Linked DNA regions of Canis lupus familiaris. The protein of the gene in region 1 purifies or fractionates together with the protein of each later gene. This does not show direct contact. Links are inferred from orthologs where the notes say so. Each region holds a gene or a part of one and is shown in the gene's direction. Other genes may lie near its edges.

Region 1 (3,500 bases):
GGTGGCCCAGTAGTTTGGCGCTGCCTTCAGCCCAGGGTATGATCCTGGAGATTCTGCATCGGGCTCCCTGCATGGAGCCTGCTTCTCCCTCTGCCTGTGTCTCCGCCTCTTTCTCTCTCTCTCTCTCTCTCTCTCTCTCATGAATGAATAAACAAAATCTTAAAAAAAATAAAATAAAAATGGCAGACTATTTTCTGAACTCCTACTCTGTACCCCTGTACTTTTCTCTCATTATTCCTTTTGCCTTGTCCTCAATTTCAGTCTGGTCCTACCAGTCTATCCTCACTGTAGGGCTTTGTCCTGGAAAGGATACCATTTGTGTTTAGTACGAAGAATGAGGGCCAGAATTGCCCAGTTGCTTCAGGACTTAATGTACTCCTTATTGGAAGATACATAGCTATTGGCTGCTGTTCTCAGACTGAACTCTTGGTCATTTTGGGGTATTCACATTTGTCACAAGCCTTTCTGCTGTCCTGCTGTTGCTTCCTGTACAAATGCTGGCTCCCAAGCCAGTCTTGCAGCTCTCACAATGGTCTGTCTCTACCTGCTAGGATTCTTGCCAGAATGCCTTTTCGTCTAGGTTAATTGTAGTTGTTGACCATAGGCTTTTGGTTTTGCTATCCTTGTTGAGCTGTATCTTATGTGATAATTTGGAAAGAATCAAAAACTAACTTGCCTTTATCCCATAATTGTGTCCTTTTTCTTCCCCCTATACTCTTTGTCCTTGAATAATTATCTAAAGCAGTTTGAGGGAACCTTGAATAAAGGTGCCAGGCCTCAACGATGATATGCCTGTGTCACCACCAGGCATGTCCAGGTACTAGTGGTAAAAACCGCCTTACCCCAAGATCCAGTTTGAGGTTCCTTGTGTGAATAATTTGCTCTGAAGTCACATAAACTTTAATATATTTCTTTTCTAAATAATTCCTTTAAAGTCTAGCCCTTTTGAGCTTGCTACAGGACATATAATTTTTTTGAGGGGGAGGGGTCTCTTAATATTGAGACAGAAGCTGTTATGGCTAGGATTTTCAGTTTAAGAAGTTCAAATCTACTTAACAGTTTAGTCAGTAATTTACTAAGCATCGGTGATGTGCTAGTATTGTGCTAGGTGCTAGGGCATTAAAGAAATAAAAGATAGGAGTCCCTGTTCCAAAGGCATCTGCCATATCAGAGTATCAGAATAGCCTATGGTATTCATATTCTTACCTCTGGCCATTTCTTTTACAGGGTGACCTAGACCCTTTGGCATCTCTCAAATCACTGACTTACCTAAGGTATGGAAATGATCTGTGGTGGTGACAGTTAAGTCCTTTATAATAGCACCATTACCAGCCTTGATCTTAGAGCAAACAGTTAGTAAGAAGGACCTTTGAAAAACAAGGACTGAAAATGTGAAACCTCCCCAATGTGAATTTAATAACTCTGCAACATGACAAAATTGACTCATCTGATTCCATTAAAATGGACCTGTTGAATGCTGCACTGTGAGTAAGATTGGCATTATGTTATTCCTTTTCTTGTAGTATTCTGAGAAATCCTGTAACAAACAAGAAGCATTATAGACTGTATGTAATTTATAAAGTTCCGCAAGTCAGAGTACTGGATTTCCAGAAAGTGAAACTAAAAGTAAGTATTGTTCTGTGGGTTATAAGTCATTGTAGATTCGTGTGTTTCATTTTATACTTTTGTTACTGATTTTTTTTTAATTGCCTAATGAGTTTTCCTATTGGTTTGTAATAAAAATGTGGGAAGGAAAATGTTAAGTCCTTTATTTTTCATAGCAGAGTTTATATAGCAGGACTTTGAGTTAAAGCTGTCTTACATGGTAGTGTTGGTCATTCAGAGGTAGTACAATATCAGAGCAACCATGAGCACCATCAACAACAGATCGTTTAGATCCACTCCCCTGTGGGGACCTTAGTATAATCCATTTTTCAGCAGCTGTAATTGTTAGAATGATTTTCTCTTTACTAGGTGTGTTTTTGGTTTGTGTGTGGTTTGTGTTTTTTGTTTTTTCTTTTTAAACATTCTTAGTTCCTCCAGACCCCCTCCTCGAAACTAGGAGGGGGAGCTTTCTTCAGGGAGCTTTCACCAGAGAAGGCAAGGCCATTTGTCTCCTTTTAATTTGAAATTGGCTTTTTGGTATTTTTACCAGCCCCGAGTGTTTCAGGAGAGTTTCCTTCCATGTTTTCTGAGGAATGCATTTAAATGCATGTGGTATTCCTATTTCCATTAACTCTGTGTGTGGTGTTGCTGTAGGAGCGTCAGGAAGCAGAGAAAATGTTCAAGGGCAAACGGGGTGCACAACTTGCAAAGGATATTGCCAGGAGAAGCAAAACGTAAGATACAGATAATCCAACTTCACTCCACTTCACCTTCAGAAACACTATCTGTCTGGCTTTTTGCCCTCCTACAGAATTAAACAAAACACCTGTGACTAACACAGTATTGAATTCGTGTGATGATAGCCCCGTGACCATCACTGGTCCACACATCACATGAGATTTCCATCAGGTTAGCAAATACTTCCATGTTCAGTCTTAATGCGACATTGTATACTTCCTGCTTCTTCTCTATAGGAAGATGAACTGGGTGGTGTTTCTGAAGGAGGGAGTTTCTTGTATCAGTTTGTTAACAAAGATAAGATACTACACTGGTTGAATTACTTTCAAAAGCTTTTTTTGAAAGTAAAAGAGAAGCAGTTTCCCTTGTCTGGATTTAACAGTTGCATTCTTCCCTCTCCTTTCCCCTCCCAAGTTTCAATCCAGGTGCTGGTTTGCCAACTGACAAAAAGAAAGGTGGGCCATCTCCAGGGGATGTAGAAGCAATCAAGGTAATAACGGGTTAGGACTCTTGGACTGGAAAGAGTTGCCGTGGGTTTTAGGACATGAAATATGTAATTGACCAAATTCTAAACATTGTAGTGTCTTCCCCCACCCCACCCCACCCCACCCCACAACCCCACAAGAGTTAGGTTCCTGCTATGTTCCGTGTAAGGAAGGAACTAGCTTAAAGTTACTACCTGATTTTGACTTGAATTATTTACATGAGCCAGTCAAAGCAGAGGCAGCTCTGGTTCTTTGTCATTTTCCCAGGATCTATTTTTTTTTTTTTAAATAGTTAAATTACCTTAGCATGTTGTCTCAGTGTTTGCCTTAGCTTTTCAAAGATTTGCTGTCTGAAAGATCTGTTAGTTAATCATGGGAAATCCTAATTTCATAATACTGCTTCCTAGATTATCCAGTAACATAGTTCCAAAAAGGTGCTTTAATTCACTAAATTGTTAGGACATGTGCAATGATTATTTTCTCTCTTGTAAGAGGGTCCACATCCATCTACCAATTTGGGGAATTTATGATTTGGTTTGATTTCAACATGACGATAAAATTCTTACCCCAGCACAACTGTATAATAGTCCACCTCACAGAGTTGCCGTGGACTTCTGTAGGGTTTTCTGTGTGATTGACACTTAGATGCAATAAACTGGTCATGTCCATTGT
Region 2 (4,234 bases), on another chromosome or scaffold:
GCATGGCTCAGGGGTTGAGTGTCTGCCTTCAGCTCAGGTCGTGACCCCTGTGGTCCCTGGGATCCAGTCCCATGTCAGACTCCCTGCAGGGGGCCTACTTCTCCCTCTGCCTGTGTCTATCTCTCATGAATAAAATCTTTTTTTAAAAAAACAATCTACATGTTCTCTTAACCCTTTCCTCCCTCAACTATTGTTTAACCTAAATTAAAACAATTGAAAATTGAAAATTTTCTCTCATCAAATTGATTTTTTTCATTGATACTAAGTCCCATTTTTGTTACTAAAGTTTCTACTAAATACTCATGTTGTGATCCTGTTACACAGCCAGGCAAACGTTTTTGGTGATAGCTCTAACCTTAATCCTTACCTGTTTCCTTAGGCTGCTTCCTGTACCAACTTCCCCTCAAAGTTATGTTCTTTTTTAATCCTAAAGTCCAAGGCCAGTGTGGCAGTTCAAAATTATGCTTTTGTAATTGAGGAGTAGGCAAAAAAAAAAAAAGAAAAGCCATATTTGGAGCTTTTAAAAATTCCTGATTCAAGAGTGACATTTAGGATTAAGAGAGGCATTCCAGGGATCCCTCGGTGGCGCAGCGGTTTGGCGCCTGCCTTTGGCCCAGGGCGCGATCCTGGAGACCCGGGATCGAATCCCACGTCGGGCTCCCTGCATGGAGCCTGCTTCTCCCTCTGCCTGTGTCTCTGCCTCTCTCTCTTTCTCACTGTGTGTCTATCATAAATAAATAAATAAAAATTAAAAAAAAAAGAAAGGCATTCCATCAGTGTTAATGCTGACAGCCAGTGGTTTTCTAAGAACCTATGAAATTAAAAGGCTTTAAAAAAGGACGGCACAGTTCCTCCCGGGTAATTCAGTAAGGGTGTGACCTTGCATATTTTATTTACACCCCCGCCCTAGTTTTCCTCTCCTTTCTTAAATGGGATTAGCAACAACTCGCCCACTTTCCTGGGTTGTTTGTGAGGTACAACAGTGTCTGGAAATAATAATGTTGTGCACGAAACTCCTACCCAAATGGCAAGTAATTCTTTAAGAAGAAAGAAAAATGACCTTGAATTTCAGCGCGAAGGACGTGACTGGTGTGTGTCTCCACAACTACCCACTGCAGCCGCTGAGAGACGCCACAGGAGCTCTCGCCTGGCACCGACACACCTCCGCTCGACGTGGAGGACGAGAACTGACGGCCTGAGGCTTCGGACGGGCCTGAAATCCAGCGTCTCTCGCAGTGACTATCAGCGGGTCCTCGCACAACCCACTTCCCTCCAGAGCAGTCGCCGTCGCCCCCGCCCCCGCCCCCGCGTCAGGACTCGCTTAGCCCTCCTCCTCCCGCCACCGCGAAAACCGCCTCCGCGCCGGGCCCTGGCTCCTCCCCCTCCCCCACAATGCATCGCTCTGTTCCCTCTAGGCGGCTGCTCCGTCACGTGTCGCGCGGCGGCGCGCGCCCCCGCTTGGCGCACGCGCAGAGAGCATTCCCCAGCTATTTTTCTCCGTGGCAGCGGCGGCGAGCGGAAGTGCTGGGGAGCGCCAGTTCCGTCTGTGTGTTCGAGTGGACAAAATGGCGAAGATCGCCAAGACCCACGAAGGTAAGGCGTCTTCCCGTGCTCCCGCGTCTTCTCTGCTGCCAGCCTGCCAAGACTCGATTTTACTCGGTTTTTGCCTCGGCCTGTGGTTTCGTTGGTGGGGTGCCGCGCCCGCGCGTGGGGGCCCTGGTCGGCTCCTCGGCGCTAGCGGCGCAGGCCACTGCCCCACGTAATGGCGTCCTACTCCTCCACCGCGGGCAGGCGCTTTGTTCCGCGTTTGGGTCCTGTTCCTTCAGAGTTGCTTCTCTTTTCCGAGCGGAAGGCCTCGTTCAGACGGCTCGCCGGGGGGGAGGCCAGGGCCGCGAATCGGGGAAACGGGCGTGAAAGCCGGGAGTCGCCCTCGCCTCACGGAACTGTGGCGGGCGCAGTTCGTGCCCGGGGGAGTCGGGGGAGCCCGGGAACACGGCAGCCGCTTTTCGGCAGCGCCAACTCGAGCGTAGCCTGCTTGAGGCCCGTTCCTCTTCGTCTCGGCTAATCAGGCATCTAAAATACTTTTTTTTTTTTTTTTGTATGAAGTGATTTGGACATAAAATCTGGTAGTTTTTTCTTCCCGTGATCACTTGTATATTGGTGTTTGTTCCCCACCCCCCCCCCTTGGAGACTGATGATTGGTGGAAGAGGGAAAGGCACGTTATTATTCCCAGCGGTCAAAGCTTTCGAGGTACCTGATCGTTTTGTGGAATTCGGAGAACACGGAATTTAGGAAAATGCTGAGAATAAGCCGGAGTTCTTGAGGGAGTATCCAGTTTCCAGAAATGACAGGAAATAGGGTCACTTCAGAGAAGATGAGGCATGGGCATTGGGAGGCGCGTTCCTTAGGATTTTTTTTTTTTTTTTCTGACCTGGAATCTGAAGCGTTCGTCGAACGGGAGGCTTCCAGGAGTCATTTGTATTTTCACGGGTCGTTTCCAGGTGCTGGCTCCGTGTGAGTCCGAAGTAACAAAGAGTAAGGCCGTGCAAAGTTTTACAGGCTCCTGGGGAGACAGGTGTGTGTGTGTGTATACGTTTTCATTCTTTCATGAGGCAAATTAACGCTTAAATAGAAATACAGGCCGCATGTTCTGGGATTCTGGGTAACGGAGTGATTAATTCCTGCCTAGGTAGGACTCTTCCATAGAGGAGGTGACGTGTCCCTGGCCTAAACGGATCAATCCGTTTTAAATTAGGGGAGGACATTTGAGCCTGAGAGGACATCTTGTAACGAGGCAAGGAGTCCTGAAAAGTGTGTTTGAGTAGTGGACTGTGGCGCTGCAGGGAGGGAAAGTGTAGGCGAATCTGGAAAGGTTGGTTGGGACCAGGATGTGAATGCCCTGGAATAATTGTGTTCCCCGCCAGAACTGAAGTCCAGCTCTCTGCGACATGCTAATTAATGGGCAGTGACTTTAATACTCTTCTCGTTGTGGGGGTAGGTATTTAGGATTTATTTATTTATTTTATTATTATTTTTTATATTTTTTTATTTATTCATGAGATATTTTTTATTTTATATGAGATATATATTTTATTTTATTTATTTATTCATGAGAGACACAGAGAAAGAGAGGCAGAGACACAGGCAGAGGGAGAGGCAGGCTCCCCCACAGGGAGCCTGATGCGGGACTCGATCCCGGAACCCCAGGATCACGCCCAGGGCCAAAGGCAGGCACCAAGCCGCCGAGCCACCCGGGCTGCCCGGTATTTAGGATTTAAACACTGTTTTAGCCCTGAAGGTTGTTTAGGCACTTACTCTTCTGTCTTTAGACTAATCCGGATGTAACCTTTTGCAAAATAATTAGAAACTGAAGATGTTGCTCTTGTTTATTCAGGAGTAGGCTGTTCATTGGGGGCAGTTTGTGGCTTTGATCACTTGTTTGTTGATATTTTTAATCATAAAGATACTTTTGGACAGGGAAATCAAGGTTTGGATCAGGTTTCCTGCTTTTTTGAGACTCAATTAAAAGCTTTGGTCTATAGAAGATTGAAGTTGATTGGCCAAGTTTGCTTTTTTATTTGGAATCTTGCTACAGTATGAATTAACTGATGCTATAAAGAAAGTATAGCAGTATTCAGTTAACAACAGCACTGTGTATAAGACAGTCTGTCACTGTGAGTTTTTGGTAAAGGATGATCAATGTTTAGTGGAAATATGCATAATATTTACATAGAGATACTTTCCTAAAGATCTGGAATGGTTCATGGTGCATCTCTTCTCTTTTCCCTTAATAAGTCATCTCTGATAGCCTGGAGCAGATTTCTTGGTGGGTTTATTTATTTATTTATTTATTTATTTACTTACCTAGGTGCTACTGTAGCTCTTTATTATACTAGAATATTCTATTGTGTTAAGGTTTTTTAAAAAATATTTATTCATGAGAGAGAGAGAGAGAGGCAGAGACACAGGCAGAGGGAGAAGCAGGCTCCATGCAGGGAGCCTGACGTGGGACTCCATCCCGGGTCTCCAGGATCACGCACTGGGTGGAAGGCGGCGCCAAACTGCTGAGCCACCCGGGCTGCCCAAGGTTTTCTTATCCACGTTGAGACTGATGTGTACAGGAACTATTTCTTGGTATCCCCAGTACCTAATGCCTAATGAGTACTGAGTATTAACATTTATTGAGAGATTATATTGGAAATATTAAAAGTTTCACAGAAAGGGGCCGCTTAA
Region 3 (4,033 bases), on another chromosome or scaffold:
TCCAAATACCATTCTTTCCCAGTCCCGTTGAAATTGTTGTCTTTTTTATGGGCATGGCAGAGGGGGTCCGGGGTGAGGGAAGGTTCTGTCTAATCCTCCAATTTTTCTTATCTTGGTCTTGCTGTCTCAGCTTTTGACACTCCAGCCCTCAACAAGCTCACTGACCTTTCTGTTGCAGATGGGTGGTGCTAACCTTCTCCAACTCTTGCCCTGTCCTGTTTCATTCTCGAGATATGTTTCTCATGATTTGAGGAATTAAGAAACAAAAGCAATCCAGAATACGATTACCTTTGTTCTTTTCAGGGCAATTCCATCCCTCTGGATACCCAGCCGATAAGCTGTGAGATGAGAGATGCTGTTCATCAGTTCAAAGGAGATGGCCTACAGAACTCATTCTCACCTCCTCTTGCTGCTTAATTCCAATTTCTGTTTCTTCCCTCTGGTTTTCTATGGGTATGCTAGTGGGTATGGGACACATCCTGTCTCTCCCAATTGTATATTTTGTAGTGACATTTCTATTTAACGAGTTCATTAAAGTACAGTTGCTGGCATTATCTCTGGTGTCTGAATAAAAGATCCTAAGTAAAAAAGCGATGATAAACCGGGAGAAGAAGGGACCCACCATATTATTGTTCAGGAAATATGGAGATAGGTCAGGCTGTCCACACTAATCGTTTCGTAAGATGGGGCAAAGAGCATGCAAAGACATGGTTGGTGGGCCCGGGGTATTCTGGCGGTTGAAACTGAGGCCCCTGGGCTGCAATGTCAGGTACCCTCAGCTCTGGGCACACATCATCTCTGAGCCTCAGGTTTCCATCTCCCCCATGCAACAGGATCATGTGAGCTCCGACGCCACTCCAGCTCAGACACTCCGCAATCCTCTCCCCAGAAGCCGCGGGCCACGGTGGAGGGCTGCCTCCGCACCCTAAGGCAGCCGAATCCTTGGGTTGGAGGGTTTCCTCAGCACACCCTTCTCCGGGGAACAAAAGGATAGTTTGCCAACAAAATATTTCTAAATAAAGTTTTGTTCTTTTAGCTTTTGAGTTTACATTTTTAGGAGTACTGTGATCCTTTAACGTCCAGCACTGCCTTAAGAGGGTCTGGGCATTTCCGTTCGGCCCTCATCGCTTTGACCGCTAGCAGCGGCAAATCCGCGCAGAACCACGGACCGGAGAACGCGGCCCCACAAGCCGCATCAAGTCTCCGCAACTCCTAAGATGGCCGGGGCCTCTTCCGGCTCCTCCCCCATCAGGCCCCGCCCACCGCCCTCGTGACTACCTTCGCCCCGGAAGTGGAAGTACTGACTGAGGTCAGAGGGCGGGATCGCTGCCTGGAGACGGCGGGAGCTCTTTCGCCATGGCGGCCGGCCCGATCTCCGAGCGGAACCAGGGTAGTTGGAGGGGATGAGGCCAGGGAGGCTGGGAGGCCTCGAGGAAGGCCAGCCGTGTTTTCGCCGGGGCAGGAGATCGGATCCCCCCGGAGGGCGCGAACCCGGCCCCCGTGCCGGCTGGGGGTGGGGTGGCCGGGTGCAGGCTGAGGCCTGTGGTTGTGATGCTCTGTCCAATCTCCTGCGCCTTCCCATTCAAAAAAACAAAACAAAACAAAAACCCAAACGAAAACCAAAAACAAAGCAATTCACAGAGAATTTGCAGCAGAACCTTCAGTTAGACTTAAGAAGGTTCTTTAGTTCTGGAATGAGAGAGATGTAAGGGCTTACTCTCACGTCTTTTTCCTTTTTTGTTCCTATATCCCATCTCCACTCCCAGTTCCCCCGCCTGTCACTTCCTTCTTTCCCGTCGTTGTCTCATCCCTGCCATAATCTGCTCATTTCTCTTAGATGCCACTGTCTACGTCGGGGGACTGGATGAGAAGGTTAGCGAACCCCTGCTGTGGGAGCTTTTTCTCCAGGCAGGGCCAGTAGTCAACACCCACATGCCAAAGGATAGAGTCACAGGTCAGCACCAAGGTGAGTACATCACAAGAGGCGTGTTTATGCATTGAGGGGACAAGCTGCTCCTGGAGGGTTCCGGCAGTATTCATAGGCAGTATTCATAGCCGTTTTGGAATCACCTGTAGATTCTTCCTTTTAAGTGTCATTCAATGTTTGCTTCTGGAACCATTCCCAGTTGAAGTGAGGTGGTTATTTCATGTTCTTTGTGCTTTGGAAGGTGCATGAGTTACACACGAAATTGAATCACTTCACTTAAGTTAATCTCTGCTTTTCTACTTCCCAGGCTATGGCTTTGTGGAATTCCTGAGTGAGGAAGATGCTGACTATGCCATTAAGATCATGAACATGATCAAACTATATGGGAAGCCAATACGAGTGAACAAGGCATCGGCTCACAACAAGAACCTGGACGTGGGGGCCAACATTTTCATTGGCAATCTGGACCCAGAAATTGATGAGAAGCTGCTTTATGATACTTTCAGCGCCTTCGGGGTCATCTTACAAACCCCTAAGATTATGCGGGACCCTGATACAGGCAACTCCAAAGGTTATGCCTTTATTAATTTTGCTTCATTTGACGCTTCGGATGCAGCTATTGAGGCCATGAATGGGCAGTATCTCTGTAATCGCCCCATTACTGTGTCCTATGCCTTCAAGAAGGACTCGAAAGGGGAGCGCCACGGCTCAGCAGCTGAACGACTTCTAGCAGCCCAGAACCCACTCTCCCAGGCTGACCGCCCTCATCAGCTGTTTGCAGATGCACCCCCTCCGCCTTCAGCCCCCAATCCTGTCGTATCATCATTGGGGTCTGGGCTCCCGCCACCAGGTAAAGCTTTTATTCAAAGTATTTTTGTCTTGGGCTTGGGGTGTGGTGGTGAGCGGGGGCAAGGGGAGGAGAAAAGAACTTGATAAAGGGGGACATGGAGTCAGTAGGTGATGAGAAAGAGAGTGAGGGGTGACAGTTGTGGGGAGAAAGTTGTTGAGTTGAAGAGGCTGAAGTTGTTCCTAGTTATCTAGTATTGCTTCTGATTTTAGAGAGCTGGGAGGAAGGGAAGAGAACTTATCCTGCCTGAGGAGGCCAGATTGAACGGGCTTTCTAAAGACATTCTCTCCTTACTATCGTTAACTTGTCTTTCATTTCCTCTATAGGCATGCCTCCTCCTGGGTCCTTCCCACCCCCGGTGCCGCCTCCTGGAGCCCTTCCACCCGGGATACCCCCAGCCATGCCCCCGCCACCTATGCCTCCCGGTGCTGGAGGACACGGTCCACCATCAGCAGGAACCCCAGGGGCTGGACATCCTGGACATGGACACTCGCATCCTCACCCATTCCCACCAAGTGGGATGCCCCATCCAGGTGAGTGTTCTTTGCTGGGGAAAAGGATAGATAAGCTTGTTGGAGGAGCTCCACTGCCACATGCAGTGCTGCCCTCATCCCTCAGCAGTAATAGTAGATAGTCCCGGAGCTCTGCTTTTTTTTCAGACATTCTTTTATAAAAACAAACACGAGACACTGTTCTCTGTTTACTTTAACAGCTACCACCCTGTCTCCATTTATTATACAAGTTTTTCCAAAGAGTGTAACTGTACTCGTTTGCTTTTTCCTTTAACTTTTACTTCATTTTTCTCCTCCGACTTCTACCCCAAAGCAGTGACCTAATTGCCAAATAGAGGGGGCACTTCCATTCTTTACCTGGTTTGCCATTTGGTGTACTTGAAACTGGGTGTGTTGTCCTTTTTGAAAAGCTTGCCTCTTGGTGTTTCTGGATTTTTCATCTGTCTCAGACTCCTTAAAGTTAGCCACATTAGGGATCCCTGGGTGGCGCAGCGGTTTGGCGCCTGTCTTTGGCCCAGGGCGCGATCCTGGAGACCCGGGATCGAATCCCACATCGGGCTCCCGGTGCATGGAGCCTGCTTCTCCCTCTGCCTGTGTCTCTGCCTCTCTCTCTCTGTGTGACTATCGTAAATTAAAAAAAAAAAAAAAAAAAAAGTTAGCCACATTAGTAGGCTTTTCTCCCTCTCCATGTAGCTGGGTTTTTGTATCTGGTTCTCTTTTCTTTTTTTTTTTTTAATTTTTATTTAT

The links. Proteins that work in one complex are often made in the same cells at the same time.
Region 2: the proteins of SNRPA1 (region 1) and SF3B1 purify together in Homo sapiens (affinity purification with mass spectrometry; 8 studies listed by BioGRID and IntAct, counting the BioPlex papers as one, with this or other methods). This does not show direct contact. The link is inferred for Canis lupus familiaris from reciprocal best matches to the Homo sapiens genes SNRPA1 and SF3B1.
Region 3: the proteins of SNRPA1 (region 1) and SF3B4 purify together in Homo sapiens (affinity purification with mass spectrometry; 3 studies listed by BioGRID and IntAct, counting the BioPlex papers as one, with this or other methods). This does not show direct contact. The link is inferred for Canis lupus familiaris from reciprocal best matches to the Homo sapiens genes SNRPA1 and SF3B4.

The regions. Positions count from the first base shown.
Region 1 is NC_049224.1:40,147,674-40,151,173, forward strand, and holds part of SNRPA1 (U2 small nuclear ribonucleoprotein A'), read left to right. Parts: intron 1-1,227; coding exon 1,228-1,274; intron 1,275-1,523; coding exon 1,524-1,626; intron 1,627-2,259; coding exon 2,260-2,339; intron 2,340-2,757; coding exon 2,758-2,833; intron 2,834-3,500. UniProt on the Homo sapiens protein: Involved in pre-mRNA splicing as component of the spliceosome. Associated with sn-RNP U2, where it contributes to the binding of stem loop IV of U2 snRNA.
Region 2 is NC_049258.1:6,839,143-6,843,376, reverse strand, and holds the start of SF3B1 (splicing factor 3B subunit 1), read left to right. Parts: upstream 1-1,434; 5' UTR 1,435-1,565; coding exon 1,566-1,593; intron 1,594-4,234. UniProt on the Homo sapiens protein: Component of the 17S U2 SnRNP complex of the spliceosome, a large ribonucleoprotein complex that removes introns from transcribed pre-mRNAs.
Region 3 is NC_049238.1:59,867,874-59,871,906, reverse strand, and holds the start of SF3B4 (splicing factor 3B subunit 4), read left to right. Parts: upstream 1-1,233; 5' UTR 1,234-1,356; coding exon 1,357-1,390; intron 1,391-1,837; coding exon 1,838-1,966; intron 1,967-2,234; coding exon 2,235-2,777; intron 2,778-3,100; coding exon 3,101-3,307; intron 3,308-4,033. Other genes in the region: MTMR11 (myotubularin-related protein 11), read left to right, coding at 1-31. UniProt on the Homo sapiens protein: Component of the 17S U2 SnRNP complex of the spliceosome, a large ribonucleoprotein complex that removes introns from transcribed pre-mRNAs.